2 linked regions of the Yarrowia lipolytica genome follow. The protein of the gene in region 1 interacts with the protein of each later gene in a pairwise test. Links are inferred from orthologs where the notes say so. Each region holds a gene or a part of one and is shown on either strand. Other genes may lie near its edges.

Region 1 (4,152 bases):
CACAAACCACATAGTTGGAGTTGGTAGCCTTGTCCATGGTGTAGACCTTGCCTGCTGTGGGAATCATCATAGAGCTGTCCTTGTTTCCAAAACCTCCCCGAGCGTCAATGAATTGCAGGTTCTTGTCCCACGAACCCGACACAATCAGATTGTTGCCGGCATCGCAAACCACTGACGAGATGGCATCTGCATGCTGTTGTCCTATGCTCAAAAGTTCTCCTGCCTGAAGATCTATTGCTTCAACCACACCTGCCAATCCTCCTGTGAATGCAACACCGTTGTCCCCCCAACAACAGTCGAGAATCGGGCTGGATGCAGACACCTCTGTGACCTGTCGAGAATTGTCGTGACTGACAGAGTACAGACGCAGTTTAGTATCCCAGGAAGACACAAGCAGATGCTTCTGAGGACCCCATGTGACCTTCGATATTAAATCGGGCAAAGCGTCGATTTGAACTGGGTTAGAAAATGTCGCTGACAAGAAGAAAAATCAAACGGATACTCACTTATGCTCATTTTTTGGACTTGTTATCGAAAACCGATATTGTTCGTGATGTTCCGGCGTGTATACAAGCTTATGCAGATCAACATGCGTGGTTGTCATGGAGACGCGTGTCAAATCAGGAGGCTAGGGTTAGGGTTGGAAACAAGAGCTGGGCCATGTGGGGGATCTAACATGAGTGCATTCTTTCCTTGTCTGGAGTTTCGAGCTTGTTGTAGGCACAAGTACGACAATACCTGAAGATGTATATGGTTGAAGACTATGGATCAAGAGAGTTGGTGATTTCTTTTCCAGCCCGAAAACAGCCCACTTTGACTTTGGGGTTTTCATCGACTGGGTTAATCGGTGTAATTACTTGTACTTGTAGCTTCTTGTAGTTCAGACTGACATATTGAATGATACCAATGTTTACACACTACCCACTGTATTGTTCGATGACCTCCAAACATACAATGGGAAAAGTGAAACGAACGTCATCAACTCTTGTGTACTCGTACTTGTAGTTTCAGATCCATATAAGACGACAAAAGGATCTTGCATATGAGCAGTATTGGCCACTTTCATCAAGTGTGGCCCAAGTCAATTATCGGGTGAGAGAGAGGCGTGAATCTTGATAGTCAAGTTCAGTTGAAGCTTGTGTGTCATGCCTCTCCGCCTTCAAATATCTATACGGGGGAAGAGCAAGAATAGCGTTATTACAGAGGCTGTAAGTTGGAGTCTTGCCTGTAATTCGGTGACAGTTGGTGCACCGGGTCGTGTCGCAAACGGTCTCAAAACCACCTCCAAAACCACTTCCAAAACCACCACTTCTGGTCCTTGTTTCAGAGACCTTCTCCAAGTCATAATATCCAGCTACTGTACGATACTGTATCCAAGCAGGCTGAACAGGTTCGTATATCTGCATGCATCTTCTGAAGTTAATCCCAAAAAATAGAGAAACGGCATGTAGCTCACCGAAGTTCACATTGGAGAGGGTACTCTTGTTCCGTCAGGTTAAGTGGTCCACTGGATTCTCAAGAGAGAACATATCCAGCTTTCATTCTCCAGCTGCACCCTTGTCAACATTTGGGGTCTATCTAACCCCTCCTCAAATAGGGTAAAAGAGCAATCGTCAACAGTAGGCTTTTGGAATACATGTGTGATGCAGCAACATCCTCCAAGGCTCAGCTGGATCAGTGTTTGTGAACCTCTCTCAGTGACCTTGTGAGATATTAACGGCATCACTTAGCGTACCACGCCCTGCTGCGCATCTTGCATCATGACCTCGACAGTGGAATTGGCCGAGCCATTATCGTCACAGCGCAATCTCAAAGCCATCAGCCTGGCGTTCCACAACCAAAACGATGATCAAAATCTGTCATTACAACCCGTCCACTCGCACGACAGCGATATCGCCAATGGGAGCTCGACCAAAAGCGATATCTCGAGTTTGGACAGCTCGCCCAAGAACCACTCAGACAGCCACCATAAGGGTCTTACAGATGATGTGTCCGCTGAGAAACTAAGAGGAGGAAAAATTGCAGACTCGGACGGCAACGTGATGAGCGACGCCTCCGATTCGGAGCTGGACACGGACGGCCCCGAACCCATCAACCCCCATGCTAAATTGTCGGTCAAACTCATGGACAAGATGCTGGCCCTAGCTCTGCCTCCTAAATCAGCTGCAGTGGCCAAGAGAGTCAGAATCCAGCAGGGCCAGGACCCCTTTAGTATGAATCTAATGGGAAAGAACTTCAGGGGCGTCACGTCGCGGTTCACCATCATCTACGAAACCTACTATACCGTGCTGGAGATTCTAATGTGGAAGAGACCGTCTTTTACGCTAGGAGTTATGGCCATCTACTCTTTCATCTGTTTGCATCCCCGACTGCTGTTCATCACCCCATTGGCATACATCATGTTCTGTGTCATGGTTCCCGCGTACGCCTCCAGACACTACGACGTCCAGGAGAATTATTTGACCACCCAATGGCCTACCATTGAACCCAAGATTCCTGCTCCTGCTCCCGAGTTTTCCAGAGACTTTTACATCAACATGGTGGACACACAAAATGCGATGACCGACTTCATTCGCACTTATGATATCGTTGCTGGCATTCTGGCACACTTGATCTACTTTGCTGGAGATGAATCACTCAGTGCTGCCATCTACTTTGTTGGAATGCTTGGGGTAGCTATCTTTTATGTATACGGAGATACCATTCTCCGTATCATGCCATGGCGCTTCTTCTTCTTTGTCTTTGGATGGGCTGTCATTCTACTGCTTAACCCGATGCTGCATAGAATCGTCCTGAGAGAGTACAAGAAGCTCCCTCACGAGACCCGGGAGAAGTTCACACCTGAGGCTGTAAAGGAGGTGATTGATGAACTAGCAAGAGACGAGTTCCTGTACCATACCGCCGATGATGTGAGAGTGATAGAGGTATTTGAGCTGCAAGAACTGGATGTTCACACGAGACAATGGAAGACGGCTACTTATGTTGCCCATCCTCACATTCCGTCCATGCTTCATGAGCCCAATTACTATGCTGATCCTGACGACTTGGGTTTGAGCCCTACCGCTTCAGCTGGATCTGTTGACTCTGAATCTCGAATCCTACCTCAGTTCCGTCACACAAATGGTATTCCAGACAGGACCTTTTCGCCCCCGCCAACGACCATGGGCGAGGCCATCAGAAACATTGAAGAGGAGGTGTCTATGGCAACCTACGGGGTTAGTTCTCTTCATCAGATCCCTGCGCCCCCAGGAGTTTATTCGTTAGAGGAAGTTCTACCTCCTACAGGATGGACCTTCCTGGAGGTCCCTGAGAGAGATATGCTATCTTCTCTACCGCGGTCGTCCGATTGGGAAATGGACTACATGCCTGAACAGTGGGTAGCTTGGTGGGGTGCCTGGCGCAAGTACCTCGAGATTGACCAGGACGAAAAGTGGGTCTATGACATTCTTCCCGACGGATTCAGGGGTACTTGGAGAAGAAGACGGTGGACCAGTCTGTGCAAGCGAAAGTCGTATCTGAAGTCCAATGTTGTTGGTCGTGTCGGAGAACGGCGTGAGCACGATTGAGCCGCAAAACAATAAGATCATATAAGTTATTGCATTATTTATTATTCAGCCATATGTAATTGGAAGTGACAAGTTCTTCCTGAACAAGTATGGTACGAGTAGGGTAGGCTCTTGTAACCACCTTGTCCGTTGCACAGTGTACAGTGGTTAAACCGAAGGAGCCATGAACGTCGTCTACAGCTCATCTAGCTACCGTACACAAAATCCCATCCTAACCTCTAATATATTAACATACGTGCCCCTGCGATAAATACTTCTTAACAAGCACAGTTGGACTGCTCATTATCCAGATGGATGTTGATGGTGTCGGCGAAATCGTCCGTGTAGTCCTCTGAGTCCACCTGTGCCATGGCGTTTCGAGCAACGGTCTCGAAAGCCTGGTCTACACCAGTGTCCTCCTTGGCACTGGTCTCAAAATAGGGAATGTTGCCGGTTGCCTTGCAGAAGGCCTGGGCTCGCTTGGCGGAAACTGCCCGCTTGCTCTCCTCCACATCCACCTTGTTACCGATCACCACAAAAGGAAAGTTTTCTGGGTCTCGGGGGTTGGCAAGGAGAAGGAACTCATCTCGCCACAGAGTCAGGGCAT
Region 2 (3,492 bases), on another chromosome or scaffold:
GTGACCTTCATGGGCTTGAGCTTGATACCAGTGTCATGCATCTGGAGAACATTCTTCTGGGAGTCGAGGAGCAGTACAGAAAGAATAAAAAGCTGGTGTATGCGATCTCTGGTGTGGGTTACCATGTTGTTTCCAAAACAGACATGTTGACCAAGGAGGTGAAGGCCTGGCTGGACGAGTGGGGCTATGAATACAAGGTTTTTTTCATTGGCAACGAGAAATTCGGAACCGTCATTGCCATCGATCCTTGGTCCCATATCTAAATCAAATAACAAAAAAAAATCAAAAAAGAAGAAAAATAGTACACGTAGTTCTAAGCACGAATTATTCTACTAATGTGGCGCTTGTACAAGTATAAGTACTGTACAAGTAAGTAGCCACTGTACACATACCGTTACTGTGTGTGTGCGCATACAATACCTACTGCAGACGGCGGTAATTGTATACAGTACACACAGACACACCCTTGAATTACGTGAACAAGCTCATATAGCCGCCTCTCTTACACGCAATCGCGTAAAAAAATGATACATTCATATATTTAATTATCTCTTAAGAGTCCTCCTCGAATCTAATGCCCTTTCGTCTTCGCACCTTCTCCTCGGTCTCGGTGGTGATGATCTCCACATCTCCAGCAGCGTCAGTCACACCATCCTCCTCGACAGTGACCACCACATCAGTGGGCTTGGTGACGGTGATGAGCTCAGCAGTTCGCACCCATCGTCGTCGTCGGGTGTACTTGCTAAAAGAGTCGTCTGCAGTAGGTCGCTTCCATGTGTTGTCATAGTAGATCCATCCCTCGGAGGGAGAAGGATCGGGCGTGCTCAAAGCCTTGTTGCCAATAATGACCAGGGCGCCATCGTTGGTACAGTCCAATCGCCAAGTAGGATCGACCCACTGCCACTTCATGCCGGTGCCCTCTGTATCGGGCAGCTTGAACTCAGAAGGAGGAGTAACCTCGTTGAGGAACTCGTCGGTCCAAGGAGTTCGCTCGTAGGCCAGAAGGTTGGCGGTCCAGCCAATACCGAGCCATCGTCGTTGGTTCTCATACAGTACGTAGGTGAACCGCACGGGCTTTCCGTCCTTGGACTGCACCGACAGGGGCGATTGGGTGAATCCAAAGGCGCCCAGGTTTCGCTTTGTGTTGGAAAAGTCGAGTCCAGTGAGGTAGAAGGTGACCAGTCTAATGGCCTTGGACTTCCAGATGACTGCTCGTGTGACTCGGGCAGCCATGGAATGGTAGGTGAGGAAGAAGACGCCGGTAGTGAGCAGGAACTTTCGGGGTCCAAGGAAAAAGTAGGCACCAAACATATACAGAGGCGATAGGAAGAGCGTGGTGAATGCCAATCGGGTCACATCTCTGGGGGTCAGGCTCAGAGAGGTGATTGGAAGCAGCAGAAGATTTGCCTTGGTGGTGACATTGGTCAGCGTGTGCACAATTGCATCCAGAGAGGGCTCCGATGTTTGCCGTCTCTCCACACTTTGTCGAATGTACACAAAGGCCCAGATGAAGCCCACGGCAAGAATGTGACCACAGTAGATGACCAAGTATTCGTAGTACATGACCACGGTCACGTAGACGGCCACCAACAGAAAGCTCTGCCATTGATCATCCTCAGTCCATGTCAGCAGACCCAGCACCTTGTCGCTGGCCAGAATGTATGGGTATGCTTGAGCTAGTGCCTTGGTGACTGTTGGGGGAGTGGAAGACAGCAGGGGACTCATTGATTGAGGCTGCGAGGCCGTTGAGGGAGGGAAGGCCGCGTGCGTCGCACTGCTCTTTTTCTTCTCCTTATCCGACATTTTTGCTGTTTGCCGCTGTGATTGTAATGTGCTCACAGGCGTAGTGTGCTTGGTCGAATGGGGTTTGGGTGGTGATGTTGCTATGAGCACGCTTGCATGATGCTCACAAACTTTCACACTGTGGGGTACAATACGCACTACAGTACTGTAGGATGGGATGACCACCACGAGATGGCAATTAAACTGTTGGTACACAAGTTAGACACCCCACTACCCTATAGCACTTTTTAGATCAAGACCCCTTTTTGTTGAATTTCAAGACTGTCTGTGGCGTCTGGGACCGTTGTACACCTCGGGCGACCTCGGCTAGATTTTCCACCCAAGAAGTTCTCTACCCATGCGCGATATCCGAAAGAAGTTGGCAGGCGCGTCGGGAAGGTATTTCCTTCATAACTTGTTGACTTGAAAGTATTGTCTGCCCTTACCACATTCAGCATCAGATCAATTGGCCCTCAGTTTGTGTAAACAATTGCCACAGTTAACAGAAGTCGCTCTCATTCTCACCCCACACCGCATACTATCTGCAGGCCCTGACTGAATGTGCAAAATTACCTTACAATTTGGCCCTTGGCACAAACCCGGAGAAGTCATTTTGTGAACCTTGATGATATCGGTGGGGTTTGGGCGTATAATCACTTTGATGGCTTAGTCAGCCGTCAGATCAGGCTTTAGCGTGGTAGTCTTTCGGTGTTACTTGGTCCACACACAGATGTATGCAAAGAAGCTGGGTGGCGAATGTCTTGAGCAAATCAGCTACTGTAAGCGTATACGTTGTGTTGTAGTTGAAAGAGTAAAGGATGTGCACAATTCAAGGGAAGCCACAAGGAAACTGGTTGTATCATAAATTTGTTTTTATAGTCACGAAATACATTAATACTTCTAAATTCTAGTTATTGGCCATCCCAAAAGTGTCCTACTACTCGTACCAAGCGGTAGTAAGCTGCCACAGTCACCTTTTACATCGTTCTCCAATCTGGCTATGGGGGACCAATCTATCTGTGCTCTCGCGATTGTACATACTGTAGCACTGCAACATGAATGAAGTTATCTTTAAGATACTCGTACTCGTACTCGTATTTGTAGTGGTACTTGGACCCTGTTTAAGGGGCAAACTCAACCTCCATCTTGGCCACAATGGCCTCCAGATCCTTGGCCTTGAAAAGCATCAAGTGACCCTGAGGGAAGATACCATACTCCTGGAAGGCTCGCTTGGAGTCAGCCTCTTGGGAAGCCTTCTTAAATGCGTAGGAGCCGTACTGTGTACTCTTCTCCTGAATAACCTCATCCTCGGGATGGAAGTAGTAGGTCTCGGGCTTGTATCCGGGGCCCTTCTTGTTCTTCTTAGAGGGCCGCTCGTCCTCCTCGTCCACAGAGGTCTCGGCCTCAGTGAAAGTCTTCGAGAGCACCAGGAAGTAATCAAAGTCCTGATCCTTAGTCTCATCAAGAAGCATCTTGTACATGGGAGGAACGACCTGGACAGGCATGTTGATGAGCCGCTCAGAGATGATGAGACCAACCTTGGAGGTGGAAGAGGGGCCCAGCAACTTTCGCATCTGCTTGTGTAGCTCGGGAAGGTCCTGTGTTCGAGCGACGAAGTAGTCAATGAGAGCAGCAATAACTCCCTTCTTGTTGTCCTTGTGTTTGGACATGTTGATGACTGTGAGGATGGCGAAGGGATCGGACTCCTTT

The links.
Region 2: the proteins of YALI1_F26012g (region 1) and YALI1_D35945g interact in a two-hybrid assay, tested with the Saccharomyces cerevisiae proteins (2 studies listed by BioGRID). The link is inferred for Yarrowia lipolytica from reciprocal best matches to the Saccharomyces cerevisiae genes PEX29 and PEX30.

The regions. Positions count from the first base shown.
Region 1 is NC_090775.1:2,599,536-2,603,687, forward strand, and holds YALI1_F26012g (uncharacterized protein), read left to right. Parts: upstream 1-1,760; coding exon 1,761-3,566; downstream 3,567-4,152. Other genes in the region: YALI1_F25999g (uncharacterized protein), read right to left, coding at 1-456, 507-516; YALI1_F26039g (uncharacterized protein), read right to left, coding at 3,824-4,152. UniProt on the Saccharomyces cerevisiae protein: Involved in the regulation of peroxisome number, size and distribution.
Region 2 is NC_090773.1:3,592,602-3,596,093, forward strand, and holds YALI1_D35945g (uncharacterized protein), read right to left. Parts: upstream 1,804-3,492; coding exon 553-1,803; downstream 1-552. Other genes in the region: YALI1_D35911g (uncharacterized protein), read left to right, coding at 1-263; YALI1_D35965g (uncharacterized protein), read right to left, coding at 2,904-3,492.